4 linked regions of the Alligator mississippiensis genome follow. The main gene of each other region encodes a partner of the protein of the gene in region 3 in a complex. Links are inferred from orthologs where the notes say so. Each region holds a gene or a part of one and is shown on either strand. Other genes may lie near its edges.

Region 1 (7,995 bases), on a different chromosome or scaffold from region 3:
CGGGAGTTGCCTGTAACTACGACACAGCAGTGAATGTGTAGACCACAGGTGGGCAAAATGTGGCCCACGGGCCACGTGCAGCCTGCCAGGCTATTCTATCTGGCCTGTAGGGCCCCTAAAAAATTTAGAAAATTAATATTTATCTGCCCTGGGCTGCCTGTCATGCGGCCCTCAATGGCTTGGCAAAACTCAGTAAGCGGCCCTCTGCCCAAAATAATTGCCCGCCCCTGGTGCAGACGCACCACATTGTGTTATCCCAAGACCTTGTGTTTCTTAAGCCCCCTTTCAGCAGGCAGGGGATTTGTTGGAGCGGAGGGATATCATTACTGAAGTAGGGTGGCCCCAACAGCTGGGCAAAATGGCTTTGAAGCTGACCAAGGTGTCTGGGTGCCTTCTCCCCCAGTGTTGCAACCACCTATGAATGTGCCAGGGGCTTGTCTAGTGAAACCTACAGCAAGGAAGAGGGCATGATTAATAGGCTGATAAAACAATCCAAAAGAAGAAAGATACAGCATGCACACGCACCACTGGGAATACCAGATTCCCAGCCAAAGAAACTTGTCGCAATTACAAAAGAGCTGACTATGGGGAATAATGATGAAAAAATTATGATCAAGGCTTTTACTATTTCACTGGAGGAAAAAACGATGTTGTAAGGAATACTGGTACAATACTGGAACAGCTGATAAAGAATACAAAGGTAGAAGGATACTGGTTTCTAACTTGGAACCATAAGACATAAGAAAGAAGAGATACTTACATCACAGAGCTGAAGACTGGCATCCATAAGTAACTTTGAAGACATTCAAGATTCGAAATTAAAACAATCGTCTCAGCCAACATGATTATAGCGTAAAGAACAGAATTGCTGAGATAAATGCTTCCAAATAACTTTTCATTCCATCCAGGAAGAGCACACACCAACTGCTGAAGCTTCCTTAGCCTGACGAAGGGTTTTTGAACTCGAAAGCTTGCCTAATAACTATTCTCCAACCATTTGGGCTGGTCTAATAAAAGATATCAGATTCACACAAGGAACCTTGTCTCCAAATAACTAGGTAGTTTAAGAGTAATGTAGCCATGACAGTGCAGAAATTATGCCTCCAAACAAAAGAGGGTAGCTGAAGTGTTCAGAGAAAGAATCTAAATAAATTATTGCTGCCACTAGTGCAGAACACATCTACAGGCTACAGTTAAAGGAATCCAGTAAGCAGGACAGAGACAGACTGACTAGGAACAGTAGCACCATGGTCTAGCACAAGCTTGGGCAAAATACAACCCAGGAGCCAGATCTGGTCCATGGTGGGACTTTGACTCTGGCACCATCCGGCCTGTGGTGCATCTCACTGCCCCTGGGCGTGCAACAGGGCTTGGGCAGGTTGGTGGCTGGACTCCATTTCCTGGCAGCCCCAGCAGCAGTCTCCTTTTTGCTACCACTGCTGCCAGCCCCATGGAGACTGCGCCAGGACTTGTGCGGACAGAGCCTGAGCCCCAGGCAGAGCGCACAACCCTGGCCCCGACCCCAGCCCACTCCACGTTCGGGGTCAGGATCTTTGCAGCACCCGCACTGGATTCACCCATCCCAGTCATGATGGACAGCTGCAGCTGGGCAGAAGCTGCTGCTGGGGGCAGGGAAAAAGCAGGACCTCCCCTGCTGCTGCTGAACCCTTCTGACTGCAGCCGCCCAGAGCTTGCACTGGGGGCTACCCTGCCGTTCCTCCCTGCTGGGTGCGGAAGCCCAGAGACCGCAGTGGAGGCCCCAGGTGAGCGGCCCCTGCTGAAGCTGCTACCCGCAACTCCTTATGTGGCCCATGGGGCAAAATAATTGCCCACCCCTGGTCTAGCACATGCCGGAAAGCATATGGAAAGCAATGTGAAATCAAAAAGATAATGGGCAACAGTTAAAGAGCTATGATAAACAGCCACTCGTGTCCTCATGCAGCAGCTGCTACAGGAAGTAAAAAACTATGTGCAGTGTTTGAGGATGTGGAGATTCCCAATGAAAAGGAGGATATCTGCTGTAACTTCAGCAGAAACAAAGGCTCTCCATATCCATTTGCTGCAGAAGAAAGCTGGCAGTCATTCAACTGCCTGAATAGCAAGAATGCTATTGGTCCAGTAACTAATGTTATTTCAAGTAGTTTGTGAAGCCAGGAGTAATCTAATCCCAGCTACACAGTTAAAGAACAATATTAGACTGAAGGAACATGATGAAGTGTTGGCAATATACAATATACAGCACAGGAATGGTCAGAGCCCCACGAACAGGCATTTCAAAGTACAACTAAATCATAAGTGATGCACCAGTCCTAAAGTCCAGTAAGCCTGTGGAATAGCTAGACTTGCAATCTATAATGCCTCAGAAAAAAGACTAGCAGCAGCACTGATGGAAAGCTTGCATTTGCTAGTAGACTTTTGAGAGCCTGGCAGACCTAGATGTGCTCAAACAAGAAAAACTCTTATGAAGCACAAGTTAGACACGCACTCTGATCATGAACTGGTACAGAGCCTGAATAAGAAGCCCCTGCTGAGTGTACCCAGGCAACTAAAATGCCCCCTATTTGGATTCCAGGACTGCGATAACGGGGAAGGGGACTGAAAGAAGGGTCTGAACAGACTTTGGGCATGGTGTTAGCCTTGCCTGGGCTGGGCAGACAGGTAAGCAGCTCTGCTTAGAGTATATGTGGAACAGCGTTAGGTGTGGAGAGGAAAGTGCTCTATGACAAAAAGTGACTGTACAGCTCTGAAATCCTGTCTCTGGGGATAGGTTTTGAACACAACTGTTCAGTCTTAATGATGGGTGTTATAGGGTCATAATTTCTGTGAGGCAGACTACAGACACTGAGGTACAATTGTGCCTGAGAATTGTGTTTGGAAAAAAGTGTCTTAGGGTGCCTATACACGAGCAGCGAGGCTGCTGCACTGTGCTGGCGTCCCAGTGCCTCGGAGCAGACTTGATTAATCGAGTCTGCTGGAGCTTGGCAATTGCCACTCCAGCAGCCTCCTGTGTCTCGAACAAGCTTTAGTTCAAGCACCCCCACTGCCATGTTTAAGTGTGGGGATGCTGATACACGACATACAGTGGTGCTTTATTAAAGTGGGTCCCAGACAGAGCTGCTGTAATTAAACTACGCCCCCCCCCCCCCGAGTACATGTAAAAAAAGTGCCCTTATGTTTCACCAATGGGCAAGGGTACACTGCCTCACGATCCACACGTTCAGTGCCAGATAGGGATCTGGAGAGAAAACAACTCCCCTGGGTTTTCACAAAGCAGAAGGAAAGGAAAGTCATCCCAGAGCCTGATAGCAAAAGACAGTATAGTATAATAAACAGGTTCAAAAAAGGCCCATTAATAGCTATGAAATAGAATAGTCGGGGATGTTGCTTGATATCCCTAAACCAAGGATGCTTGATGCCAGAGAGGTTATGATAAAGTACGGATTATATGCTGGAAAGTCCTGTTCATATGGTCTCTGTCCAAAGCATCTCCGCTTGCCACTCGGAGACAAGATCCTGGGTTAGGTGGTCTTACCCACTATGGCACTTCTTGCGTTCTTATGGCAACGGAGACAGAGCCTAGGACGGGTAGGCAACCCCCGGCACGGGTGTCAGCGTGGCACGCAGTTTGTGTTTGTGCCTGGGGTGGACGGCAGGGAGGGCACCGGGGCCGTGCTGCCACAACAAGGATCAGCACCTCACAGCTCTGCGGAGCGCGCCAACGTGGCACAGGCCCCGGAGCTTGCGGGTGTCCTTGGCGCTCTCTTGCCGACCCCTGGTCTAAGACCACTGCAGCTGAGACGCAAAGAGCACGCCCAGACAGACAGACACACGAGGCCAGGCATTTTTATTTTCCCCGAGGGCCTTATTCAAGGCCAAGAACATCATCCAAGAAGGCGGCAAATTTTTCCGGCCGCCCAGGAGGAAAGGGCTTCAGGAGGGACAAGTCCACGGACTGCAGGGTCTCGGCGAGCGTGCTGCAAGTGCAGTAGACGAGGTGGCCGTCTCGGCGGAGCTGCCTGGCCAGCTCCAGCTGATGATTGTCCATCAGGGTTTCGTTGATCACCACCACCAGCGGCTTGCCCTCGCCCAGCGTCTCCAAGCAGCTGCCCGCGCCCGCGTGGCTGATGACCAGGTCGGCTTGGCGCAGGTCTTCGGCCAGCGAGTCCTTGAAGCGGAACACCTCGAGCGCGAAGTCGGGGGCGCGCACGGGCCGCGGGGCCCGCGTGCCCCGGCCGATCTGCAGCACCAGCCTGCCGTAGCCCAGGCCCCGCAGCACGCGCAGGCACGGCGCGGCGGACACGGCCGCGATCAGCTCGTCGAAGCAGGTGGTGCCCACGGTGACGAAGGCCGACTTGGTGGCGCCGGGCGCGGGCCGGGCCTCCAGTGGGCAGCCCCCCGCGCCTGGGGCAGCGGAGGAGACCGCCATGGCTTGTAGGAGAGCCGGCCTCGCGCCCAGGCACCAGCCCCCGCGCGCGGGCGCGGGCGCGGGGCTGCGGCCACGAGGAGCGCGGGCCCGCGGAGCAGGAGGAGGAGGCGGAGCCCGCGACCAAGATGGCGGCCGAGAAGCTGCGGAGCAGACTGGGTGCCGCCTTCCGCCTGCACGGGCTGCTGCTCCGCGCGTGAGTGCCCGCCCGCCTGCCCGCGGGGCCCGGAGCGAGCGAGCGAGCGAGGGAGGCGGCTCCGCTCTCGGCCCCGCCGTGACACGGGTGTGGGGAGCTGCCCGGTCCGGTCCGGTCCCCGTGCTGTCCGCGAGGGCCGGCGTGCGCACGGGGCTGGCTCGCAGCTCCTTTCCCACGGGACCAACGGGACTGGGTGTGAGGAAGGGAGCCCTCGTGACTTTTAAGATTTGTTCCAAGTCGGAGAATGTTTTCCCCGTGTATTCTTCGTTCCCTTGGCTTCCTTCTCCTGGTTTTCTACTCATCTTGTTCATGCCTTGTCCGGTTTTGCCCCTTCCCCCCCCCCCCCAGAATGGGTGTAAAGGCGTCGGAGAGTCCGCGCAGGGAACAGCAATGGTCTGGGGGGCTGGGGACAGCGCTGGTGAGGAGAGGAGAAGTCGAGGGAACTGGGCTGATTGAGTCTGGAGAAGAAGACCGAGGGGGGTTGAACAGCAGCCTTCACCTCCCTGCAGGGGGGCTGCAACGAGGATGGAGCTGGGCTGGTCTCAGTGGGGGCAGATGGCAGGATAAGGAGCAATGGGCTGAGGCTGCAGCAAGGGAAGTTGAGGTTGGATGTTAGGAAAACCCTCCTGGTGAGAAAGTTATTGTAGAAAATGCAGGTTGGAAGGGACCTCCAGAGGTCATTTAGTCCAACTGCGTCCTCCGTGCAGGACCAGCCCCAAGTAGATCATCCCAGCCAGGGCTTTCTTGAGCTGGGTCTTAAAAGCCTCCAAGGATGGAGAGTCCACCACCGTGCTAGGTAATCTGTTCTAGTGTTTTATGACCTTTTTAACAAGAGAGGTTTTCCTCGTATCCAAACCAAACTTCCCTTGCTGCATCTGGAGACCATTGCTCCTTGTTCTGTCATCTGCCCCCACTGAGGACAGTGACTTTTCTAAATAGTCCCTACCCTGTTCTTTCACCACTGTAGGATGCTCACCTCCTCCCCAAACTGCTGCTTGGTGCAGTAGCCTGTGAAGATTGAGGTGAAAGGCATCGAGCACTTCAGCCTTTTCCGCAACATCTGTCGCTAGGTTGCCTCCCCAATTCAGTAAAGGACCCACACTTCCCCTGATCCTCCTCTTGTTGCTGTGAAGCACTGGAACAGGTTACCCAGAGAGGTGGTGCAGTCTCCATCCTTGGAGGTTTTCAAGGTCCCGGTTGACAAAACTTGGGCCGGGTTGATGTAGTTGGGGCTGGTCCTGCTTGGAGCAGGGGTTGGACTAGGTGTGACCTCCTGAGGCCCCTTCAACCCTCATTTTCTATAATTCTGTGTTTCTTTGGCCTTTCATCTTCTGGCACTGAAGAGACACTAAGAAAAATTATTTGGATAATGTTCTGAAGATTTTATTTACACCACGGCCTTAGCACCCTATACATTTAAATAATGGAAGTGTCTTCCACAGATGTTTCTTTATTTATAAAACATCAAACTTGAAGTAGTCTTCTCTAAAAAGCCCACACGGGGTTTGGGGGGGGTGGGGGAAGTAGGACAGGATTATAGTATGAGCCTCTTCCCACAGATCAGGTTGCTAGGGCCTGTTTCACATTTAATTTTGGTGGTTTTTTTAGGGATTTTAATTTCAGAGACTCTTTGATTGATAAGGATGCAGGACTAGGCTTGTTATTTCCACCCTTTTCCTTTCAAATAACCACAAGCTGTATAACATTTTATGTACATCAAATGATATACTATAGTAGTGTAGTGTTGTAAAGTATATATTTTGTTTACTGACTATTCATTTCCTTTCTTGGCTAACTTTTCTATTTACACCAGTGATGCCATTAAGTATCTCACTGAATCTCTTCAGTCTGTCGGTGAATTAGAGCTGGAAGATGCCATCGAGAACATCATTGAAGCTGTTGAAAAACAGCCTTGTAAGTAACCATTTTTTTCAAAGCCTTCTAATTTAATTCTACCCTTGTCATACTAGTTTTACAGAAATAAGCCTCCTAGCAGCTTACACAGTAAGTCAGGGGTGGTCAGCTTGTGGTACATGTGCTAGAAATGACGTGGGTAGTGTGGCAGATGGAGGCCTTGGGGGACAGGGAGTACAGTGGCAGATAGGACAGAGCAGCAGATTGGGCAGGGGAAGGAGATCAGTGGTACTCGGCAGGGTGGGGAAGGGAGCATGGGGGAGAAGGTCAGTGCTTGCCAAAAATGTTGGTCCCTGGTGCACTAAGGTGTCATTTTAGATCTATTGAGATCCTGTTTTGCTGAATTCATAGATTAATAGCTTGTAGAGTTGGAAGGGACCACAATGGGTCATTATGTCTGACCCCCTGCCCCTGGCAGGAAAGAAGACCGAGGTCAGATGACCCCAGCCAGGTGACTATGTAGACTCCTCTTGAAGACCTCCAAGCTAAGTGATAACAACCACCTCTCTTGGAAGCCCATTCCAGATCCTGGTCACCCTTACTGTGAAAAATTTCTTCCTAATATCTAACCTAAATCCACTCTCAACTAGTTTACACCCATTATTCCTAGTCACTCCCTGGGGCGCCCTAGTAAACAGCGCTTCCCCTATTCCCCGTTGACCTCTCCTAATAAATTTATAGGCGGCCACAAAATCTCCCCTAAGCCGTCTCTTGTGAAGGCTGAAGAGATTCAGCTCTCTCAACCTCCCTCCGTAGGGTCTATCACAAAGGCCACTAATCATGCGAGTGGCCTCCTCTGGACCCTCTTCAGATTCCCCGCGTCCCTCTTGAAGTGCGGCGCCCAAAACTGCACACAGTACTCCAACTGTGGCCTGACCAATGCCACATAGAGGGGGAGCAGCACCTCCTTTGTTCTATTAGTCATGCACCTGCTAATGCACGACAAGGTGCGATTGGCCTTGTTACACTGCCGGCTCATGTTCATCTTGGAGTCAATTATGACTCCAAGTTCCCTCTCTGCCTCTGAGCTGCTGAGAAGGACCTTTCCTAACCTACAGGTGTGCTGGGATTCCTCCTTCCCAGGTGGAGTACCTTACATTTCTCTTTATTAAACTGCATCCTATTTCTCTCTGTCCATTGCTCCAACCTGTCCAGGTCGGCCTGAATCTGCTCCCTGCCCTCCGGTGTACTAACTTTGCCCCATAACTTGGTATCATCAATGAACTTGGAAAGGGTGCTCTCCACGCCCTTGTCCAAATTGCTGATGAAGATATTAAATAATATCGGTCTGAGGACCGAGCCCTGCGGGACCCCACTGCCCACCTCCCTCCAGGCTGAGAAAGAACCATCCACCACCTCTCTCTGGTGCGGTCCCTAAGCCAGCTGGCCACCCACCCAACCGTGTAGGCGTCCACTCCACAGTCTGCTAGCTTCCCAATGAGGATAGGGTGCAAAACTGTGT
Region 2 (7,648 bases), on a different chromosome or scaffold from region 3:
TGGGAGCTGCTATGACAAGCCTTGAAAATAGGAGGAACTGCTCAGTTTCAGGCCCTCTAACAGCACAGTAAGTACCTTACCTATCCTCAGTCCTGCAATACTAACAGCTCTGAAACTAACTCACCCCTGTCATCTTCAAGGCTTGTCATACTAGTCCTTAGGCTAAGAACAGATGTCAGATTTCTCCTAGACAACGCCTTTTATTCCGGGATCCTACAGACATATGAGCTCGCTGTCAAACTTTAACTTCTGTTTTTACCCTTGACTCTTTGTGGTACAGTTAACCCTGTGAAATATCCAAGATAATTCTTCTTAATTTACACTATTCATTATTTTACTCTGATAGTGTTGGAGTGATGTTGTAGCTCAGCGTTGTCCTTTATTGGACTAACTGCATGGCTGGGATAGCCTTGGACAAGGCTAAGAATACACTGCATTCGTCTTTAGGTTACTGTGACAGTAATGCCAACTGCTGCCACAAGATGTCATGACAAGGTAAGGCTCAAGGAACCATACAGAGAGTTAAACAGTAAAAACAATGCACATAGCATCATGGTGAATGATTGTTCACACCAAATGTTTTACACAAAACAAACACCACGTCCTTATTATAGAACAGATATCTATTCAACATCTTTATCAGCGACTTGGAGGTGGGTGTGGAAAGCACGCTGTCCAAATTCACGGATGACACAAAGATGTGGGGAGAAGTGGGCACGCTGGAGGGGAGGGACAGAATCCAGCTAGATCTAGACAGGTTACAAAGGTGGTCAGGTGAGAACAGAATGGAATTCAACACAGACAAGCGCAAGGTGCTGCATCTAGGGAGAAGGAACCTGCAACATACCTATAGGCTGAGGAACACCCTTCTCAACAACACAGTGGCTGGAAGGGATCTTGGAGTTATTGCTGACTCCAGAATCGACATGAGCCGCCAATGCGAGGAAGTGGTCAGTAAAGCTAACTGCACCAATGAAAACTGCACCATTGTTCCTCTTCCAAGTATGATTACATAAGTAGGTGCATCACAAGCAGGTCCAGGGAGGTGATCCTTCCCCTCTATGCGGCGCTGGTCAGGCCGCAGTTAGAGTACTGTGTCCAGTTCTGGGCACCGCACTTCAAGAGGGATGTGGCCAGCATTGAGAGGGTCCAGAGGAGGACCACTTACATGGTCAGGGGGTAGCAGGCCAGGACCTATGAAGATAGACTAAAGGGCCTGACCTATGAAGATAGACTAAAGGGCCTGAATGTATTCAGCCTCTACAAGAGAAGACTGAGAGGGGATCTGGTGTCTGTCTATAAACTCACCAGGGGGGACCAGTGGAAAATAGGTGAGCCTCTGTTCCCCCCAGGCACCACCTGGAACTATGAAACAGGTTCCTAAACTGTAGTACGTGTAACTCTGGCAAGACATCTCTGGGGAGTACTCAGGAGAAATTGTATAATGGCAGATTTAATTTTTATTTTAATAATTGACATTTAAGGGGTTAAAATATAAAATGTATGTGGTAAGGTTACGTGGGCCGCTGGTAAATCTGGAAAGGGGTATAAAATAAAAAAAAGACTGGGGAACCTCTGCCCTAGAAAAGTTAGTCTCATGGGACTGGTTGTGCGTGGTTACTAATTGTATAGGAGACTTCCTATTCCATTGTATAGGAGACTACAATGTTGCTGGAGCTATACTAATGACTCAGATAGTCACCTGGCATGGCATTGCAGCCTAGAGTTGTGGCAGAGATGCTCACTCACATTAGGTAGGTGCTTGGATTCATTCATTCTCAGAGTTTAGCCCTAGTTTATTGATTGTAGCTCAAGGCAGTTAATTACATTGTACCTGATCCCCTGCATTTTCTATTTAGTATGATCTTACACTTCCATTCCTACCTAAAACTGAGGTGTAGCATGTTTGTATCCTGCAGATGAGATGTGGTGGATGAAGATATCACTATGGATCTCTTACCTATGTCACACAGGTGATGAAGCCACCTGTCCGCCCAGCCTCAGAATAAAGGTGCTCTAGAAATGCTCTAGAAATGGACACTCCTCCAGAGAGGTAAACCGCACGTTTGAAAGAGCCACCTGGATACCACGTGAAGAACTGCTGCAGTACAGAAGAAAAACACCCACAAATTGCACACCGCTGGTTATGACATATCATCCATCCCTTGAACCTGTATGGAAAATCCTCAAAAAATTGCAACCCATATTAGAAAGAGACCCTATTCTTAAAAAGATCTTCCCAGAGCCACCCATCCTAGCCTTCAAACAAGCACCAAACCTCGCCAACCTCATCACCAGAAGCAAACTTCCTCAAGCCCAGAACACACCAAAAGGATCCAGACCGTGCCAGGACAAGAAATGCAAAACCTGCCAACACATCTCCACCACCCCCACTATTACTACACCCCACAACAGAGCCATCAGCATCCCAGGATCTTACAGCTGCACCTCCAGAAATGTAGTATACCTCATCCAATGTACCAAATGCCCTGATGGAAGATATGTAGGAGAGACCAGACAACAACTGCACACCAGAATGAACGCACACCGGAAATCCATCAAAGACAGAAACACCCAATTACCGGTGGGGGCACATTTCTCACAGGAGGGCCACTCTCTCAGTCCTGATCCTCAAGGGAAATTTACACACCACTTCCCAGAGATGAGCCTATGAGCTCCATTTCATCAACCTGCTGGATGCTAGAGATCATGGACTAAACAGACACTGGATTTTTGATACATTATAATCTGCCTGGCAACTGACTCCCCAGCCCAGCCCAGCCCCTGGCTTCTTCACTTTTCATCCCATCCAGAAAGAGCACACACCAACTGCTGCAGCTTCCTTAGTCTGACGAAGGGTTTTTGAACCTGAAAGCTTGCTTAATAACTATTCTCCAACCATTTGGGTTGGTCTAATAAAAGATATCAGATTCACCCAAGGAACCTTGTCTGCCTATGTCCTTAGACCAACACGGCTACAACCTAAACCCCTAGAAATGCAAAGTATTTATCATCATTAATTTATCATGCAGTGTCAGACTGCTCCAACCAACGATCATGGACCGTAATTTTCTGGCAGCACATCACCATGCATGTTTATCGGTGCTTGGAGATTATGGATGAAATCCTGGCTTTAGTAAAATAAACGGCAAAACCCCACTTGATTTCAGCGGGCTCAGAACCGTGTTGGAGACCCGAGACCCCTGCATCGCTTCGTGCTGGGTGCGTGACCACATCCCTCCTACAGGCCGTCTAAGCCCAGAAACAGTTTAGCTTTGTTGCACAAATGGCTAGTTTCGTGTCCCTGGAGGCTTTTCCAATATACCTCAAGGGAGAGTCATACACACTCAGGCTGGATCCATCTCAAGTTTATTTGTTTGCAAACAGATCAACAAGGGAGCTCAAAGCCCAAATCCGAGTCGAACCCTAGCCACGCCCGAAGATACATTTTGATACCTCTCATGAACAAGATCCCATTGTGGCAATCTGTGATTTGCTACAGTTTTCTACAAAGTTTACGTGCAAAGCAGGCAGTAACTAATCTGTGTTCCCACAGGAATCAGCCTTATCGTGAACCAAGCATTGTTCAGACTGTGCTCTCCCCCTAACAGGCCCCCCACCCTTCCTGGCCCCGCAGTGGTGGGGGAGAGAAGAAACAATTTGCAGTTTACAGTTCTTAGCCGTGAAGCCTTTTGTGTAATGAGGCAAGACATTTTTGCAATAGCTTGAAGCACAGGCCCCTGCAAAGTCACACGGGCCAGGAGCGCCGAGTAAGGATCGCGCGGCTACCTGCGATCAATGCAGACCAGCCACACACACGAAGTCACGATCACAGGACAAAAATGACTACCAAGCTGGAAAGCGAGCCGAGCAGCTACATAAAGTTAGTGCTTGAAAACACGTAACAACTCCACAGCTGGTTTGGACCCAGGTTTCATTGGACTGTGTAGCAGGTGAGACACGGTGTGTTGCGAGGGGAGGGGGGGAACACCGAAGAATGGCCCCAGGGCACACACGTGTCTCAATGCCGCCCTGCTCCGCTCTCGATGCTCATCCGGGACGCGCATGTCTGACCCCGACTGGGCTCAAACCCCTCCGCGCGCCGGAGGCCGGGGGGGGGGGGGAGGGGTGAGTTCCTGAGCGCCCCGGTGCATCTTGGGACGTGTAGGCCTTCTCCCGCCGCGCGGGGGGAGGAGGAGGAGGTGGTGGTGAGGCGAGCGGTGCATGCTGGGACTCGTAGTTCTCCCTCCCGCCCGCGACGGCGCAGCACTACAGCTCCCGGCGGCCCCCGCGGCGCGGGGCAGGATGGCGGCGCGGCCGAGCGGCGGCGAGAACCGGCTGGTGTCGCTGCCCCTGTCCCGCATCCGCGTCATCATGAAGAGCTCCCCCGAGGTGTCCAGCATCAACCAGGACGCGCTCTTCCTCACCGCCCGCGCCACGGTACCGCCCTCGGCCCGCCCGGGGGGGACATGCGGGGGTGTGGGGGGAGGCAAGCGTCCGCTGCGGCGTGAAGCGGGGCCGGCGCGGGAAGGCGGCTCTTGACGTCTCTCTTCCGGTGGTTTGCAGGAGCTGTTTGTCCAGTACTTGGCCTCGTACTCGTACAAGCACGGGCGAGGCAAGGAGAAGAGAGCCCTGACCTACAGTGACCTGTCGCACACGGCCGAGGAGTGCGAAACCTTTCAGTTCCTCGCAGGTGCGTGTCGCCGCGGGCGGGCTGGGGGGCAAAGCCACGGTCTCGCGCACGGTGCTGCCCCGTGGCGTCGGCACACATCGCGCGACGGGGGCCGTCTGCGCCGCAGTACGAAGTCGCGGGACGCGCTGGGCCGGCGTCTGGGGACAGTCGGCGCCGTCGAGCGCCTTGATGCCTTGTCACAACGGTCGCGTCACGGCTGTCCGAATGAGGAGGCCGAGCGACGGGAGGTGAAGCAGCCCCAGTTACGGCAGTGTAAGATCTGGGTGTAAAGCCCAGAAGCGCTGATGCTCGCATCGTCTGCTTTACCCACCAGGCCACACACCTGTAAATCCGCTTAGAGAAGAGCAAGGCAGGCGGTGGGGGAGGCTTTTAGGAAACGTACCAGCTCAGAGCTATGAATGGATGAGCGTTCGATGCACAAACGCGTCTGAGGTGGGAACAGGACCACAAACGTTCACGTGTTGCTCTCGGACTTGGGCGCTTTGGGGTTAGCCCTGCTTGTTCATAAGAACGTGCTAGGATGGTGGTCTCATTCTAGGCACCTTTTTAGCAGTGTTGCCTTAGCAAGCAGTCCACTTTCCCATCTCTCGAGGTCATCAGCTGTAAGAGCAGTGTCAAACTTACCCCGGGCCAGATCTGAACTGCAGGGTCTCCCCCCAGGCCAGATCTGTGGGGCCAGCAGCCAGTGTGGTAGGGTCACATCCAGGCAGCAACGTGAGTCCAGGGCTGGGTGGTGGTGGTGATGGGCTGCATTCAGGCAGCAGCACAGAGCTGGGGGGCTGCTGCTGATGGCCATGTCCATTGGGGTCCACGGACCCCAAATTGTGTGGCGGGCCATACGCCCCAACTTCCAGGAGTCCGCCGGGCTACCAGCAAGGCTACATGAAATAGCTCCACGGGCTGCATGTTTGGCACCCCTGATCTATAATGGTGTCCTGGACAGATCCCTAAATGGAGCATAGAGGAATTGCTTGCAAGGGATATACCTAGAGCAGGTAAACCTCATATCCAGTGTTGTTCTACGGTGCAAGTAACTGCTGACCGTGGCAGTGGCAGCGTCCACACCAACTGCAACCGGCTAAAAACAGCATAACAGGTTTCAGAATTTAAACCTCTATAATTAAGAATCTCTCTCAAAAGAAGACAAATTCTAGCGTTCGAGCCTTAATTGGATGAAAACTCTCTACTATTACGTTAGCCATTGTTCCTCTTCCAAGTATGATTATTATAGATTGAAATAACTCATCTTGTTGTTCCCTAGACTAAAAAGTTGCATTCTGTGAACTGTGCAGCTAGTAATTAGTGACTTTAAATGCCACAGTAATAACTGTCCTAAATATAACTGTTCTAAATGAGCACAAAATCAGCAATTCTGCCTTTCAGATATCTTGCCAAAGAAGATCCTAGCTAGCAAATACCTGAAAATGCTTGAAAAGGAGAAGAGAGATGGAGAGGTGAAGGAGGAGGAGAAGGAAGAAGAGGAAGATGAGAGTGAAGAAGACGCCGAATCTTAAGGGTTTATCAGACTGTCTTCATATTCGGTCTTTTTCCTGTTGTATAAAAGATGTTATTTTTTTGTGACTGAGAATCCAACTGCTGGATTTATTTGTATGTGAAGTCACCTGTTTTCTATTTTTGTTTTAAGAAGCTTTATCCAATGACACACACACAGCCTGAAGGACAGAATTATCCCCCAGATACACACACACACAAACACACACACACACGAGGGGAAGAGTTCCTACAGATCTGGAGACAGAACTAGCTCATTCTTTTTAAAGTAACTTAGACAATCATTACCACATTTCTTGTGGGCAGCCCTCATCATCCAGGCCAAAGGTCTCTCGCGTTCTCTCTAGGTGGTTAAATGGATCCCCTCTTACAGCTGATGCTGTTGGTAATCAACTTGAAGAGGCTGTATATACTCTATCAATAGTATTTGCCTTCTGCCAGCCAAGAAGCAGATAACTGGTTCAGATCTCTATCCCAGTTCTCCTATATGGGTCTAGAACCTACCCATGGATCAAGCCCTTAAAAACCAACATGACTTCTGCAGTGCTGTCCAAATCTCTTCCTTCCTCTAGAAGGAAACTGGATACAGGGCTAGACTAGTTCAAATTAGTGGTGTAGGTCTGTGGCTGTAGTGGTGATGAAGAAGTACAAGTGTTAGCAGGTGGTGTAAATATGTGCATCTAGAACCTGTGTTTTCCTCAGCAAGGTCTCTACTTTTGCAGCATACTGTTTATGGTATTTAACCAACACGCATATTGTGTGAAGTTTAGAGGTGGTTGTATGGGAAGAAAATAAGTAGTCCTTTTACCATGTCAGTGGTAGAGCTGGAATATTTTTGTTACAATGAAATTGGAAACAGCCCTGTGTAGAAAATTTTGTACACAATTTTTTAAATAAATGTTTTATAAAATGTGGAATTTAATGTAGAGGGTCCTGACAGCTTTCTCATCTGTAGGCTTTCCAGTTTATCTTTGGTGCACAATTAACATAATTGTCCCAAACTTGCTGATGGGCAAACTTAATGAATGTGGATCCTGTTGGAGAAAAAAAAAAGACTAGCCATGAGTACAAAGTAATGATTGAGTGGGAGGGGGGAGAAGGGACACTAGGAATTCACACTGATCTTCCAAATAGTTTACATTCTTTGTTGTGGGTCAGCTTCAGTGTGTTTCAGGGGAAACGTGCCTGGATAAACCCTGGCCATGCCCCTGTAAAGAAATGTTTCAGTCTCATCTGCCCTCTTTCTGGCTAAGACGCTTACTGGAGAAGTAGTAAATTAAGTTACCATATTTCACAGTGTATAGGTCGATGTGGTGTATAAGTCCCCGTTTTTCTGATCTAAAAAGTTAAGAAGACGTATACACCAGAACTATGAAATTCCTAACTTTTTGGATCCGAAATACGGGGTTAACTTATACTGCCCCTTGCATGCCCTCACTGCAG
Region 3 (8,035 bases):
TACAAGCTGATGCTGAGCACAGGGGAGGAAAAGTGGCCCTTTGCCCGCCCTGTGGCCGGCGCCCTGTGCTGCAGCCACTCGCAGCCCGTGTGGGGCTGCCTGTGCCTGCTCAGCCCCGCGCAGGCTGCAAGCAACTGCAGCGGGGAGCACCAGCCATGGGGCAGGGGAATGGCCGCTTTTCCCCACGCTCAGCTTTTCCCCAGGCCACTTTTCCCTGGGTTCCTCCCCTGCCCTCCCCCCCTTACCTGAGTTTCCAGCTGGGGCCCGGGCCAGAACTCCTGCTGGGGCTTCTGGCTGGGGGCTGGGCCAGGCCGGGGGGGCCCTGCTGTTGCAGAAGCCTGCCGGGGCTTGCCCTGGATCCTACTGCCCCAGGCTCCTGTCATTTTTCACAGGAACCAAGGGCAGATAAATATTAATTTTCTAAAATTTTTAGGAGCCCTGTGGGCCAGGTAGAATGACCTTGCAGGCCACATCCGGCCTGTGGGCTGTATTTTGCCCACCCCTGCACTTCAGCCTCATCAGTGTGCTGTCAGTCCAATTTAAACAGTGACTAATGATCATATAATTAACTCTTCGTCTTTTCTAGTGCCTTTTACCAAAGGATGTGAAAGGAATTTTGAAAAAAGTAATTAACTAAGCCTCATAACCTTGCCACCTTTCAAACTGGATAAACAAGGGGCTATCCAGCACCTAAATTCAACCACCTCAGACGTGCACCATAGAAGCTGTTTACCAGTGCACAGTAATACTACAAAAGAGTTCCTTACAGAAAATAAAGAATGACCCAAATTTAACTACATGAGGAACTTTTAGGATGCTCAATGTAGTCTTGGTTAGAAGGTGGACATGACATCAGGCTTAATATTTCCTTCTTATAAAAAATGTCAGAGGATCTGTAATAAGACTAAGTGGTCAGGATACCAGTTTTACATCTCATCTGAAAGACACTACTACCGTGACTGAAAAATCTGAAGTGGGATACTGGCTTACTACTAAGAGGGGGAAATGCTAACATTTGGAGTGCTGTGTCCAGTTTTGGGCCCCCCACTACAGAAAGGATGTGGACAAATTGGAGAGTCCAGCAGAGGACAACGAAAATGGTTATGGGGCTGGGACACACGACTTATGAGGAAAAGCAGAGGGAACTAGGCTTATTTAGTCTGGCAATGAGACAACTGAGAGGGGATTTAATAGCAACCTTCAACTACCTGAAGGGTGGAGCAATAGTCTCAAGTTGCAGCAAGGGAAGTTTAGGTTAGATATTAGGAAGAACTTTCTCACTAGGAAGGTAGTAAAGCACTGGAACGGGTTACCCAGAGAAGTTGTAGAATCTCTATCCTTAGAGATGTTTAAGACCTGAGTAGACAAAGCCTTGGCTGGGATCATCTAGTTGGGAATGGTCCTCCTTTGAGCAGGCAGTTGAACTAGATGACCTCCTGAGGTCCCTTCCAACCCTAATTTTCTATGAATCTATGATAGGTCAGGACAATCGCACAGAATGATCTGAATCGTGTTAAAGTGGGGCCAGTTCAAACAAAATGAATTTTAATAAATCCAATTTCAAGGTCATAAATCTGGGAACAAATACAGAATCAGGGACTGCAGGTGCTCTTATGGTGCCTAGAAAGTAGGGACTCTGAAAAGGATTCAGGCATCATGGTAGACATGTATTTCAAAATAAGCTTCCAGGATAATCCTATGATAAAAAGAACAAGTGTGACCCTTGCACTGGGGTTCAAAGATAAGGATAGTAGGTAAAAGCAGAGATGTGATTTTACATATACATAGGCATCAGTGAGCTCAATGCCACAAAGCTGCATACTGAAAAAATTGAAATGATGCAAAAAGACCATAGAAATTATTTGAAAATCTATGACAATGACAGACTTGAAGAACTCCAGTCTGCCTGCTTACAAAAAAGAAGACTGAGAGATGGCTTGCTTATTGGGGATAAGTACCTTTATGGGGAAAAAATCCTGGGTCCTAAAGAACTCTTCAGTTTAGAAAATAACGGCATAGCAGAAGTCAATGGCTGGAAGTTCAAACCAAACAGACAGGGACTTACGCTACAGTTACTGCCATTTTTTAGATGTCTTGTACATATTGATCCCACTCCTGGCACAATGCATACCCTGAGCACAAAAGAGACTGGGATCTTCTAACCAACAGCTGCATGAAAGGTACGTGGACCATGGTGTAACAGAGCACCGAGGTGTGCCTATTTTTGAGAGGCACCTTGCAGGTGGCGAAGGGGGTTAATTAGGGACTCACCTGACTAGCAGCAGGTCGTGCTTGAGCTATATAAGCCCTGGGCCTGGCCGAGTCATGCAGTTTAGTTTTGAGAGTCATGAAATGAGGAGCTCTTAGCAACAGAGCTCCTAAATAGACTGAAAGGAAGCAACTCTGCAATGCTGGGAACAAGCGAAGGTACCCAAGGCAAAGAGAGGCTTGTTATACAGGCAGGTGGCCTTGGTTTTATGTTATAACCCAGAGAATGTTTGAGTGTCTGCAGATCCTTTTATTAAGTTGAATCAGTGGTTTAGCTTTGAGCCCTACAAGGGCAGGCTCAAGGCCTACTTAGAGTGCCAGTAGCCCAACAGTGGCTGAGAGTGGGGCCCAGCAGAAAGTGCAGGAGCTCAGAGGGTGGGGATCAGAAGATCCATGAACCCAAGGCCAGAGAGGGGCTGGGAGTGTTATCAGAGAATCCAGGAGCACAAAGCAGGGCTGAGAGCAAGACTGAAGAAGCTTTAAAGACACGGAGAGTGCCCGAGTGCGAGAACAGGAGACTCAGGAGCCAGGGACTGGCTGAAAGTCAGATCAGAGTGTCCGCAGGCCCAGAGAAGGGGTGAGAGTCAGACTAGAGGGCCCGTGAGCCTGAGAGGGGCTGTGAGCCGAACTAGCGGGTCCACAAGCCTGGGGGGAAGGGGAGGCTGAGCTTGGGACTAGGGTTCAAAAACCCAGAGAGAGGCTGCATGTGGGACCAGGGGTTCTGAGGGCTCAAGAGGGGACTCAGTGGGAGACCAAAGTCCAAGACCCCACAAGTGGCTGCATGTGGGACCTGAGGGTCCTGGAGCCCAGAGGTGGGCTGTGCAGGTAACCAGAAGGCCAAGAGTCCAAAGAGAGGGGCTGAGAGCACTGAAGAGCCCAGAGAGGAGCTAAGTATAATAAACAGCAGGTGACATCATTGAAAATAACACCCATAAGGCATGGAGTGTGGTGTAGGGAAGGAGGGAGCCTCGCAATGAGCCCTTAAGGCAGGGGTCGGCAAAATACAGTCCACAGGCCAGACGTGGCTCACCAGGCCGTTCTATCCAGCCTGCGGGGCCCCTAAAAAATGTAGAAAATTAATATTTATCTGCTCTTGGCTGCCTGCCATGCAGCCCTCAATGGCATGCCAAAACTCAGTAAGTGGCCCTCCGCCCAAAATAACTGCCTGCCCCTGCCTTAAGGCTACAAATGCCCTGCAGAGACAAGGGCAGGCTGAGAGGGGCTACTTAGCTTGAGGGCAGAGCTATGACTAGGGGGGTCCATAAGGGGCCCAGTGGTGGTTTGTATGATTCAGGCTCACTCCAAAGCCCACTGGCAGCCTCCCTTACATTATCTCTCAGATAAGAACAAGGTGTGGTGGGCAAGTGATCAAAGAGGGGCTACATTAGAGCCTGACCAGGCAGGGGCTGCATGGCCACGGGAGAGCGTCACAGCTACCCCTGTGGCTGGGACCTGCCATACACGGGATCCAGATGCATACACAATCATGAAGGATCACAATTACGGTAAGAAGGTAAGTAACTGTCCTTTCTTCTCCAAGTGCCTGTCCCCATGGGTCCCCTGGAGCTGTGTTATCCACACCACAGGGCTCCCCTGGGTCCAAAGATCTGGCGGCAGGGCCGCGGTGGCAGCCTTAGTTTGAGCACCACTGGGTTAGACAACACGATGGTCGTTTTCAGCTTTTAAACGTATGACGATGAACAGGGTTTAACCCGACCTGCTAACTCCAGGGAAACTTTATCAGGATTCACTAACGTGAGGAACGTGTTTGTCCTGCCAGTGGTGCCGCTGCCTCGGGCTTTACCTTCGCTTTCCACAGACGCTCTGCAGAGCGGGTCCAAGTCCCTGGCACGAATGCGAGGTCGTCCCTGCTCCACCCTGCGGAGGGTGTCCCAGCACTGCGGGTGCGGACAAGCAGCCATGTCGCAGATGGTCTCATCCCACTGGTCCACGTCCGCCGTTTTCATGGTCACTCGGGCAATGGGGGACAGCAGTGACCTGGCAGCACGTGGCCGTGGGGCTCCCTGCCCACAGGAGACAGTGCCCACAGGGCAGGGGGAGGAGGGCGTCATTCTGCAGCACCCAGGCCACGGACCTGCCAAGCTCCATCAGCCTCACAGGGAGGAACCCTCCACCCAGCCCCGCCCCGCCCACTGCCCTCAAGCCCCGCCCACCCCAGCCTCACAAAGTGGAATCCCCCACCCAGCCCCGCCCAGTGCCCTCAAGCCCCGCCCAGCCCACCCCAGTCTCACAAAGTGGACCCCCACCCCAGCCCCGCCCAGTGCCCTCAAGCCTCGCCCACCTCCGCCCTTCCCCGGCTAACCCCGCCCCGCCCCGCCCCCGGGCCCTCCTTGGCCGCGGGGCCCCCTTGCTCACCTCTCCGCGGGGCCGCCCTAGCGGGGGCCCAGGCCCGCCCGCGCGGGTTACCAGGCAACCACCCACGCGCGGGAGGAGGAGCGGTCGCGGTGCACGCTGGGAAAGGAGAGGCCGACTACGCCGGCGGGCGGGCGGCGCGGTGCGTGCTGGGAGGGGTCAGGGGTCAGGGCTGGCGCGCGGTTCGGTTGGCCGGGCCTCTGCGCGCGGTGAGCGGGTGTCGCCTTCTCTGGACTCGAGGCCCCCTCGGAAGACGCCTCCTCTTCCCCTCCCCTCGGTTTTCACCTTCCGGGAAACTAGAGCCGCCGTCTCGTTGCAACAGGCCGGAGGTGCGGGTGCCTGCCTGACCCTCAGTGTTTACCGTGTGAGTGGTGCGGGCGCGTCTGGCCGCGTGGCCCCCGCGGCACCCTTGTCAGGATCTCGAGGCAGCGCGGGGGTTGTGGTAGGAAACCCCTGCTCTAGACGCTTTGCAAAGTAGGACTTGCTAGATCTGCTGCATGGATGAAACAAGCGTAGACTAGGAGAGGCAAGGATGTCTTGGGGGGATACCTGTCATGGGACCGAGTGTTTTATAAGCAGAGCTGCATGGGAGAGAAAAGCATCTGGTGAATTCATAACGCTGGTTTTAGTTCCAGGTGTCCCAAGATGGCAGAACGACCAGAGGACTTGAACTTGCCCAACGCTGTCATCACTCGGATTATTAAAGAAGCAGTAAGTACCGTCAGTATCGAGACGCTTGATAAATGGATGCTGCACATTTGAGATTACCCCTCGACATCTGAAACGTGACAGCTGTTACATTGACTACTGTGGGAAGAAGAGGTTAAATCCTTGGCCTTTCTGATTGTATATTTGAGAAGTTAGAGTAACTAACTGCTTTTGGACTCAGCAGTTTGATGTGTCCAGAATAGACACCTGGTTTTTAGCCTTGCTGGTGACTTCTCCCCGTGTAGTCTCTACGTGGCTTGGCTGAACGGGTGGCTGTACAGCAGTGGGTCTCGATCCTCCGGTAAGTCTTGGAGTCGATCCGAGGCTGGGGCGGGGGCTGAGTGCCTGTCTGCATGCAGACAAGGTTCCTTGGGTGAATTTGATATTTTTTATTAGACCAACCCAAATGGTTGGAGAATAGTTATTAAGCAAGCTTTCGGGTTCAAAAACCCTTTGTCAGGCTAAGGACGCTGCAGCAGTTGCTGCGTGCTCTTCCTGCACGCATGCGCCCCAGCCCAGCGGGTCAGTTTGTGGGGTAGGGAAGGGGTGGGGGCTAGATCGAGGCCCCCACAGTGAGGGACAGTGCTGCAGGAGCAGGGGTAAGTTGAGTGGGGCCCCAGCTATGTGGGACTTACCTGCTGGGGAGGCGCACCCCCAAATAATTTTTTCTCCCTCTGCCTCAATCTCCCCCTGCTGTACCGGTTCTTTCAGGCAGAAATTATGTAAAGCTTGAATCGTTCCTTGCAGCTTCCTGACCTGTATGAACTGCATTGCCTCTGATAAAATGATGCTGCTTTCTTTTCAGCTTCCTGATGGAGTAAATATTTCCAAAGAAGCTCGAAGTGCAATATCTCGAGCTGCAAGTGTGTTTGTGCTGTATGCAACATCATGGTAAGCATCTCTTGGATCAAATCAACAACAACTAGTTGATCTGCAGATAGTCCACTTGTGGGGGCAGGATTTTCACTGCTTCTCATGAAATACCCATTGGTGATAAATATCTATGAGGGGTTGCTAAAGCTTCATGGAGTCTTAACCTGTAATGTAATCTTGTGATTCATGATAGTTTCTTGATTAAGCACCATGGTGCCAATGATGATTTGTCCCTCTGGGCAAAAATCGCTTTGCCTCTGTACCAGTGGACAATATTTGCTGCTGTAAAATGCTTTCTATGGTGTTTAATAATGAGGGCATGGACTATTAGTGGTGAATTACCATAAACTTGCCAGTGGTCATCTTTAACCATCAAACATAACAGTTGATTTACCTGATCATTTTAGTTTGCTTTACTAGCTATAACAGTGGTGATATTGGTCATAAAAGTATCCAGCCTTTTTTTTCTTTTTTTTAATCAAACATCCGTTTAATGAAGGGGTGCCTTTTAGTTTTGTTATGTGATTCCATCATAGTCCTTTGACTTGCTTGCTGAATGTTGTTCTAAACAGACTAGGAAATTACTGGGTGTGTCACTGAGAGTTTATTTGATTACTTAGGACCCCTCTCTATGTGCAGGTAAAGGTGCCATGTGATCTAAGTACACGTGCATGGCAGGAGGAATGTTTATGGAATTGTGCAATAGATCACACTGTGCCTTATTGTCTTCTCAGCAGCGGAGGCACCCAGCCACTAGGACCATGTGCAGCTGAGTCCCACAGCTGACCGTTTCACCTTCTTGTACATCTATACTCTTTGATTAAATCTAAAGTTGTTAACATTCAAATGTCTCTTAAAGGCAATTTTTTAAAAGTGCACCTGCCTTGAAACTTGCCATTTCAGTTTTACAGTTACACCAATAAATAATTTTCCCTGTTATACTTCTATGAAACTCCCACAACAACAGAAAAATGTAACTAAACAAAAACTGGCTACAAACATAAATGCAGAGTATAAACACAAAGGGGGGTTGGTTGGTTGTTTGTTTGTTTGTTTGTTTGGTTTTTAATCTGTTATAGTTAATTTCCTGGTCAATTATAAGCATTACTTATAACTGGTGACAAAAATCGTTACTCTCTGAAACGTTTCGAGTTGACCGTGATGCTTAAAACCACTGGTAAATGGAGTCAATTTCTGCTGTTTGATTTCTGTTATTCTGCTTGTCTTCAATTAGTGCAAATAACTTTGCAATGAAAGGAAAGAGAAAAACACTTAATGCTGGAGACGTTCTCTCAGCCATGGAGGAAATGGAGTTCCAGCGATTTGTAGCCCCTTTAAAAGAATCACTGGAAGGTAACATTCTCTAAATTCACATTGTGTAAGGACTAGCAGTATGAGCTCCTATTTATTTCGAAAGTTGGTTGTCCAATATTGTTCCCTGTGCCATGTCTCTCATCTCTGCCCCACAGCCTGTATTGAAGTTTGCATGGGGACAAATAACATGTGGTTCATTAGTACTGGTGTGGTGTAATTTTATAATTGTTGTTGGTTGGGGAGGCACTTTTGTGGTTCATGTAACCTTCCCCCATCAGTTTTGTCTAGGTAGAGTCTTTTGTGCTTCCTGCTACATGTAAGCTTCAGTATCTTCATAAACATTCTGCTGACCTGCATATCCTTTAGAGTTTGCTGGCACAGCTAAAATAAGAGGGTGGGTTACTGCAACTGGGAGCTTCATTGCTCCAGTTGATGTCAGCCAGAAGAACCTGGAGAGCTTCTAAGTCATGGGAATGAGCACTATCAATAGTGATTCTCA
Region 4 (7,901 bases), on a different chromosome or scaffold from region 3:
AGGCCAAAGACTAATTGTCCCCGAGAAGGCCCCCTATTACAAGGTAGTTCATGACTGTTAGGAATACTGTCTTGTAGATGCTTAACTTTATATGCAATCACCTGTTCCAACAAAATTCGGATAGTCTTCCAAAGATTGTGCTAGCATTATCAGTTCTTTTGGAAACTTCATAATGGATGTGAAGTACATGTTTAAAGTGCATTACCCAAGTTGGTGAATTCATCCAAAGCTTGAAGCACATACCATTAATCATCCCTATTAGAGAGTATGTTGGGCTTAGCAGGAGCAGGCTGGTATATAGATCTTCTGACTTCTTTTAGACTAGTAGGCTGTCCAAAATGTGAGTATGCAGTAGGGCTGTGCGAGGCTTCAGACAGGGCTTCGGATCTGGAGAAGCTTTGGATGCTTTGGGGTCTGAAGTAGCATGCCCGGATCAAAGCGCTGGCCTTGTTAGGCTTCCTGAAGCGGGTCAGAGCTCCTGAAGAGCTTCAGGGCCACCTCGGAGATCCGGCCATAGGGTATAATGGGGAAACAATAAAATATCTATAATTTTCTTGTTTTTTGCCCAATTTGGATAAAAATTTCAGAGGTGGTAGACTCTATAGAGGGTATAAGGACTGCTAAGTTTCAAGAAGATAGGTTTAGGGGTTTGGGGGGAACTGCACCCCAAATTCTTGAAAACAAAACTTGTGTCACTTCTAGACGTTACAACATAGCGGGGTGAAAACTGCAGGGATGGTAGCCTATGCTGAGGCCACAAAGCCTGCCAAGTTTCAAGAAGATCAGTCTAGGGGTTTGGGGAGAACTACACCCCAAATTCTTGGGGCGTGGGAGACGCTACTGCAGGCCTGGCTGCTAAGCTACTGTGCTACCAGTTACCAATCAGTCATAATTCACTCAGGGACCAGCTCAATACACAGGACTTGGCTAATGTAGCCAGTTAATTGCCATCAATTAGCACCTACAAAACCAGACTAAGGAGAGGAAAGAATCAATACAGACAATCAACTGCCCCAAGACCGACATAATCAGTCCCACAAGCACCCATGGCACGAGTTTTGCCTGTCAGCAGCTAGGGGTGCAGAGCCCCAGAACCCCCTGCACCGATCTCCTCCACAGCTGGCAGGCGTCACAGCAGGGGCCACCATCCCTGCAGCTGTCACCCTGCTGTGTCTTAACACACAGAGTCACCCATGGCACAAGTTCTGCTTGTCCACAGCTTGAGGTGCAGTTCCCCCCCAAACCCCTGCACCGATCTTCTTGAAACTTGGCAGGCTTTGTGGCCTCAGTAAGAGCTACCAGCCCTGCAGTTTTGACCCCCCTGTGTTGTAACACAGCCATGGCATGAGTTTGACTTTCAAGAATTTGGGGTACAGTTACCCCCAAGCCCTTGCACCAATCTTCTTGGAACTTGGCGGGTTTTGTGCTCTCAGCAGAGGCTACCATCCTTGCAAGTTTCATCCGAATCGGACAAAAAACACCAAAGTTATAGATATTTCATTGATTCCTCCGTTATACCCTATAGCCGGATCTCCAAGGCAGCTTCGGAACCACTTCGGCCGGATCCAGGTGGAAACCCGGTCCGGAGCTCCGGATCACATCACTGCCATCTGAAGCAGCTGTATCCGAAGCCAGATCGGATCGCACAGGCCTAGTATGCAGCTACTTGGGATTCTTTATATTTGCACAAAAATATATCTATATCTATATATAAATAAATAATATATAACTCTATCTCCAGCACTGCCAAGTGGCCCCTGTGGTTCACTTGGCAGATCAAAGCATGCTAAAAACCTGTTACACAATTCACACCCTTTATCCATGCACCCATCTCCATGCCTGCTCCTGAAAAAAGTCTGAGCCAGACCCCTTTCCACCAGATGAGGTCTACCACTTCTTTCCCGTCATCATCTTCTGTTTTCCGTTAGTACCAGTACATTTTGCTTAGTCCGATTTGAATACAGTCTATGACTGTGGGGTCTGAGTGTTTGTTGATGAGCAGGTTCCTGGCTTTGCATAGTGCATACCTGAAGCAGGATATAAACTGGTCAAAGTGAGCTGCCGGGGTCCCTTGCTGTCTGGTCAGGTGCCCGTAGAGAACCGCATCCCTGGTCAGGTCTCTGAAACCTGTCACCACCAGGAGGAGTGCACAGATTTTCTTCCATACCTCTCTGGCATATGGGCAGTCCCAGAAGAGGTGGTCAATCATTTCTGCCTTCCAGTGGCAAGTCTGTCTCTGGCAGTTCGATGGACCTCTCTGCCCTGTGCTGATGACTTGGATATCTTCCTAAGAATGAGCAACCAAGGCACAGGCATCAGCAAATAAAAGTTTGTAGATAAGTTTTCAAGCACCCTGGGTTTTGCTCACAGCTATCTGAGATTAAACACCTTTCCACCAGACCAGAATTTAATCTGAATATGTATATCAAAATCCCAGAAAGTAGCAAGCAGCAAGGACACAAACAAAACACAAAGGACAAAATCCTATTTCACTTTAACTGCTCAAATAGGAGTTACCAGCCCAGGAACTGCCATTTTTTACACTTTTACACAATTTGAGATCCTATGCCACATGCAGCTTGGATGTGTAAGCATCCACGTAACTACTGAGGATGCATGGTAGCTTGCAAGCTGGCCAAGCAGGTACTCAGCCCCATATGCACTATGGTAGGCAAATTCAAGTCACAAAAACCCATTACTAGGAGGTGTTAGATGGGGCAGAAGGCCCATCTGAACTTTAGCCCCACGACCTGAGTTGGCAGGGCTCTTACCCAGGAAATAGAAAACCCAGGTTCCTCTCATACAGACGGGTTTGAACCTGGACCTTCCCAGGTTTAGTCTTCCAACCATCAGGCTGCAGGCTAGGCATTACTCCATGCCCTCTCTACCTGGCCCCCTGGGCAGCTGGGAGAGGAAACTGCATAGGGCCAGGAAAAAGCAAGCATGCTAGAAAGTGCCTGGTTTAACGAGAGAGCTGCTACTCTGGAAGGGAATAGACCCTGGATTCCAGCCTGGAGCCTGGTTCCCAATGGTGTGTAAATGTTTCTTCTGCTTTCTATCTAGTAAATATTAGATTCAACATGCAGTGGTTCAGCTTCAAGAGGTAGGCTAGCTAGCTTCTAATCCACGGGTAGGCAAAATATGGCCCGTAAGCCAGATCTGACCCATGGAGAGACTTTGTCTGGCTTGCAGCAGGTCCTTCAGTCCTGCCTGGCTCAGGTCCTGTCCAACCTGTGACACACCCTGCTTCTAGGCAGCCCAAGCAGCTGCTGCTGGCCTCAGCCCCACGGTACTGGCAGGGACCCATGTGCATAGCCCTGACCGCAGCCCACCCCACGCCTCCTCCAGACTTGCCCATCCACACTGAGCAGCGGTGGCAGCAGTGGTGGCTGGGCAGAAGCTACTGCTGGGTGTGGGCAAAAAGTGGCCTCTCACCACTGCCAGGCCCTTCTTACTACAGCCACCCTGAGCCTGCACCTGGGCTGCCTCGCGGCTCCTCTGCCCTGCCACCGCTGCCCCGCTGGGTGGCCTGGAGGAGGCAGTGGTGGCAGCAGAGAGGAGCCACAGGGCAGCCTAGGTACAGACTCCGGGCGGCTGCAGCGAGAAGGGCCTGGCAGCAGTGAAAGGGAGGTGGCCGCTTTCCTCCACACCGTTCTGCCCAGCTGCTGCCACTGCTCAGTGCGGGCAGGCCGGGGTCAGGGGTGTGCGTGCCTGCTCCGGCTGGGGTGAGCCCGGAGAGGGCATGGGGGGGCTGGGGTCAGGGCTAGGGCCGTGTGCTGTTGGCGGTGGCAGGGAGGAGCCACAGGGCACGTGGGCTCCATGCTGCTGGGGTGGGGGTGCTTACTGGCTGGCGGCAGCTCCCCAGAACCGCCTGTGTGGCCCGTGGGCCCAAATAATTGCCCGCCCCTGCCCTAATCTGCGACCTGGTGGTTAGACCCATTTCTGGGCAGTCAGCAAGATGCAGCTTCAACCTCCGTGGGGTGAGAGGGGTCTAGGACCTCCATCCCATTCCTGGGCGAGTGCCTTGAGCCCTTGGCTTCTGGGCTGCACCGTGCGCCGGCCCTGGTTTCTGCTGGACCAGAGTTTGGGGGTTTCTGCTGAGGCGTGAGCGAGGGTGTGGGGCTGCCTCCCTGCCGACGGCGCACGCGCGACAGCATCCACGCCACACTGCGCAGGGGAAACAGGTGGCTGTGTACCGGGATAACTACTGTTTGGGCACGCAGAGCATAGCAGGAGCCTGCCTTGAATGGCACGGTGCAAGGACACAGCACGACCGTGAATGTCGTCAGCCCGTCCTGGGCAGCAGCTTGAGCCGGCTGTGTTTTTCGTGCGATCTCGGGGGTTTCTTGTGCAGCGGGGCGAGCCCCCCAAACACGGAGATTTCCGAGCCGCTCCGGCGCCTGGCTGGGTGGGGGTCGCTGCACCGGTCTGTCGGTGCAAGATGGCACGAGCTCAGCCCGCCTGGCGCGGGGCCGGGGCCGGGGCGGCCGAGGGGCGCCCGCCAGCGCGGACAGGGCGGGAGCGGGAGCGGGCCGGGCAGCGGAGGAAGGGGCGGGGCGGGGCGGGGCGCGGTGCGCAGGCGCGGGGCGGGATGGCGGCGGCGGCGGCGGGCGCGGAGCCGGGCCCGGTGGTAGGGGCGGCGGCGGCGGCGGCGGCCGGGGAGGAGGAGCCGGGCCCGGGAGCGCCGTGTGCGGCCCCGCTGCGCCTGGCGCGGCTGCCGCTGGCCCGGGTGAAGGCGCTGGTGAAGGCCGACCCCGACGTGACGCTGGCCAGCCAGGAGGCTGTCTTCGTCCTGGCCCGCGCCGCGGTGAGGGGGCCGGGGCCGGGGCCGGGGGAAGCGCCGCGTTTCCTCCCTGCCCGCTGCGCTGCGCCGCGCACGTGCGGGCCCCGCTCCGGCTGTCCCCGCCCCAGGGGGAGGGTGTTGCCGCCTCCCCCGGCAGCCCGCAGCGCGCGTGGTGCTGCGCCCGCTAAAGCGGCTGTCACGGCCCCGCGCCGCGCCGCGCCGCTAGCCCGGGCCGGGGCTGGGGCCGGCAGGCTGCGAGCTTAGGTGAGCCGCTTCTCGTGGCCGGTGGCAGCGCCCGTCTCCTCCGGGTACGGATGGGCGCCCGCTGCCTCTTGCTTCGAGTGCTGCCAGGCGGGCGGGCGCGCGCACCCTCCTCACCCAGGCGGGCGCGGGGCTAGTCGCCGAGAGCTGGACGGCGCAGCCGGCCGTGCTGGTTGACACGGTGGCGACAGCCGTCCAAGAGAGGCCTGGCCTGACGTTGGTACCTTTGTGCCGTGACTAGACTAACGAGGTGGTACGTGGAGCGCACCAGGCGGACCCAGAGGTGCGCGGCTGCCAGCTGGGCTCGGCGAGTGCTGTCACGTAGCTGCCGAAAGAGCGCAGGGCTGCACCGCGCAGGCCTCCCCCACGCAGGCCTCCCCCGCAGACTGCTGCGCCCACAGGAGGCCGGAGGAGACGGGATGCCCTGGGCACTTCACCAGGGGAGGATGGGGATAGTGCAGCCCTGACTCCTGAGCCGCCTCTTCTCACCTGTAGCTCTTTGTAGGAAGTGCGCGGAGTTTGCTTGTGGGGTACGCCTGTCTCGCTGTGCTGTCCCGCACGATCGGTGGCAGGAGGCTCCCCTGTCAGACTGTGCAGGCGTTCACTAATGGAGGGATATTTCCTGTTGAGCTGGAGTGTGTTTGCCGCTTTGGGTCTGTGTTGTTGCAGCTCTTTGAACACCGATTGCTCCTGTGGCTGCTGAACAAGTTGGCTTCTTTTTCTGAGGCTTCTCTTGCTCTTTTTTTTGGCTCTTCTTTGGCTCTTTTGAGGTTTTGAAGAGGTATAGTTCATCTCCTGCTGGGCTGTCAGGTCTGGGAGCCTGCAGTACTCCACCTTGTTGTCCTCACTGAAAATACTCTGTAACTTGCTCTGCGATCTCCTCGTGCCTTTCCTTGGGCAGGGTTGGGACATAGATGGTTCTGCGCCAGTTTAGGTTCAAGTCAACCTCGGTAGTGCTGGCTGGCCGACAGAAGTCTGCAGAGTGGCTTTGCTCCCAGGTCTGCTTTTCGTCAGAGATGTCCCCAGCGTCAGGTTCTTGGGATTCACGTACTCGTGATGGTTATAGGTGCTGTCCAGGAGGCTGTCGCCTCCTTTTCTGCCTTAGACGTTATTGCAAAAAGCATTTCTCACCTGTTAATGAATATAGTGCCCTCTACTTGGGGCTGTCTTGGAAGAGCATTTGGGACCTTCAGTTAATGCAGAATGTGGGAACCCCTTTTTTTAGTTGCATAAAGTTTATATGAGTATTTTCTTTACCTGTGCTCTACACTGATTCCTAGCTGATTTCTTCTAGTTGCAGTTCCAGGTGTTAGGATCAATTAGCTGAAAGTATCCTGGAACCTAGATGGTCTTTCTGGTAACTGTTTCCTGGTACTCTGAAAGAGAACAGGTGGGCTGCTCTTGCTCTTAGTTCCAAGGCTTGCTCTTTTAGAAGCCGGTATGTGGACACTGGATGAGGTCTTCAACCATAGACCTTGTTCCCCTCAATGATAAGTCGCAGCCTGATTTTAGTGGCCTTCCAAGCACTGCATAAGATGTATTCACTTGCTACAGTTAAGAAGCTGTCTTGGTAGTGAGAGAAGGTAATTACAAGTCATTGCAATTTGTATGTTAAAAGTAGTATCAACTCTCAGAGCAGTGCTGGGTGTCTCTGACAAATGCCTTACATTGGATTGCACAGCCACGTCAACTCATCGCGTGTCATAATTAACTTTGAGTGGAGCTGTCCTTGAACAGATTGGTCACCTCTTTATGAGCTAAAGCAGGGTTGTCTGACTGGCTGCATGCGGCCTGCAAGGGGCTAACATGCAGCCTGTGGGCTCCAATGCAGCCACCACTACTGCTAGTGCTCCTGCTGCTATGGTGGCCAGGGTCTGTGGGATCCCCCTTTCTCTTCTGGCTTCTGTTTCCTTTCCTCACTCCTGGGCATGGGGCAGCACAGTGGGAGGAGGACTGGGGAGGAGTCCGGCATGCACCCGAGGGAGAGGGAAGCCTGGTTGTGTGCACACCCAAGAGAGGAGCTAGGCTATTTGGGCTCTGCATGTGGTCAGGAGAGGAGCTTGGCTGTCCACATAGTGCATGCGGTGATACATGTAGGGGTTGCTGACTGCCTTTGTGGTGAGAGGCTCCAGGAGGACCACCCCAACAGTATGCAGCCCATCCTGCCTGTGGCCTGGGAGACTGTAGCCCACTGGACCTGTGGCTCCCGCTGCCCAGAAATGGGATGGCCTTTAGCAAAGGCAGGGGTCTGTAGCCTTTTAGAGTGATGGGCCACTGGTTGTGACCTGGCTGTCGCCATGAACTATTGCTTCTTCCTGCTGCCTTGGGCCACCTCTCCCTTTTATAGTGACACCTGCCTGCTGCTGCCTCCACCATGGACCTCCAATCCCTGCCCCAGAGGTAGTGATAAGCCCAAATTCAGCGATGACAGTCAGCCGTGTGTGTCACGGGGTGTTGCTGCGGGGGGGGATCAGCTGCACGGTGCTAGGTGGAGAGGGACAATGTACTGGGCCAAGCTGTGTGCTACTGATACCTTGTGGACTGTAGGTTGCTGATCTGGGCTAAAGCATTGCTTTACATTGTTTCCTGGAATTAAAGTACCACTGGTTCATGGAAGCCCAGACTGGAGCTTCCCAAAGTAAATCCCAAACCAGTTTCGGGTCTTGGGGTATGAATGTCGAGCGTGGGCACAGAGCTGAAGACTGACTCTCAGAATCCAAAAAAAATATGTTGCATGTTTACAGCTGATGGTTTGCCAGAAACTAAAAGCAAGAGTCACGCTGTCTTCCCTCGCTGCCTAATGCATGCAGGATGCCTTTGCCGTGTTTATACTTTTCCCTGTTGTGCAGCAATTGTC

Evidence for each region.
Region 1: POLE3 (region 3) and POLE2 share a complex: the UniProt entries of both Homo sapiens proteins name them as parts of the DNA polymerase epsilon complex. The link is inferred for Alligator mississippiensis from reciprocal best matches to the Homo sapiens genes POLE3 and POLE2.
Region 2: POLE3 (region 3) and CHRAC1 share a complex: the UniProt entries of both Homo sapiens proteins name them as parts of the CHRAC ISWI chromatin remodeling complex. The link is inferred for Alligator mississippiensis from reciprocal best matches to the Homo sapiens genes POLE3 and CHRAC1.
Region 4: POLE3 (region 3) and POLE4 share a complex: the UniProt entries of both Homo sapiens proteins name them as parts of the DNA polymerase epsilon complex. The link is inferred for Alligator mississippiensis from reciprocal best matches to the Homo sapiens genes POLE3 and POLE4.

What each region holds. Positions count from the first base shown.
Region 1 is NC_081825.1:304,176,687-304,184,681, reverse strand, and holds the start of POLE2 (DNA polymerase epsilon subunit 2), read left to right. Parts: upstream 1-4,538; 5' UTR 4,539-4,551; coding exon 4,552-4,619; intron 4,620-4,627; exon of another isoform or gene 4,628-4,812; intron 4,813-5,586; exon of another isoform or gene 5,587-5,641; intron 5,642-6,432; coding exon 6,433-6,533; intron 6,534-7,995. Other genes in the region: UDP-N-acetylglucosamine transferase subunit ALG13 homolog, read right to left, coding at 3,863-4,426. UniProt on the Homo sapiens protein: Accessory component of the DNA polymerase epsilon complex. Participates in DNA repair and in chromosomal DNA replication.
Region 2 is NC_081826.1:7,832,510-7,840,157, reverse strand, and holds CHRAC1 (chromatin accessibility complex protein 1), read left to right. Parts: upstream 1-4,273; 5' UTR 4,274-4,305; coding exon 4,306-4,440; intron 4,441-4,566; coding exon 4,567-4,693; intron 4,694-6,076; coding exon 6,077-6,207; 3' UTR 6,208-7,127; downstream 7,128-7,648. UniProt on the Homo sapiens protein: Forms a complex with DNA polymerase epsilon subunit POLE3 and binds naked DNA, which is then incorporated into chromatin, aided by the nucleosome remodeling activity of ISWI/SNF2H and ACF1.
Region 3 is NC_081835.1:48,960,266-48,968,300, forward strand, and holds the start of POLE3 (DNA polymerase epsilon subunit 3), read left to right. Parts: upstream 1-4,701; 5' UTR 4,702-4,783; intron 4,784-4,824; exon of another isoform or gene 4,825-5,005; intron 5,006-5,270; 5' UTR 5,271-5,286; coding exon 5,287-5,352; intron 5,353-6,154; coding exon 6,155-6,240; intron 6,241-7,456; coding exon 7,457-7,575; intron 7,576-8,035. Other genes in the region: C12H9orf43 (uncharacterized protein C9orf43 homolog), read right to left, coding at 4,073-4,340. UniProt on the Homo sapiens protein: Accessory component of the DNA polymerase epsilon complex. Participates in DNA repair and in chromosomal DNA replication.
Region 4 is NC_081839.1:9,696,114-9,704,014, forward strand, and holds the start of POLE4 (DNA polymerase epsilon subunit 4), read left to right. Parts: upstream 1-4,591; coding exon 4,592-4,807; intron 4,808-7,901. UniProt on the Homo sapiens protein: Accessory component of the DNA polymerase epsilon complex. Participates in DNA repair and in chromosomal DNA replication.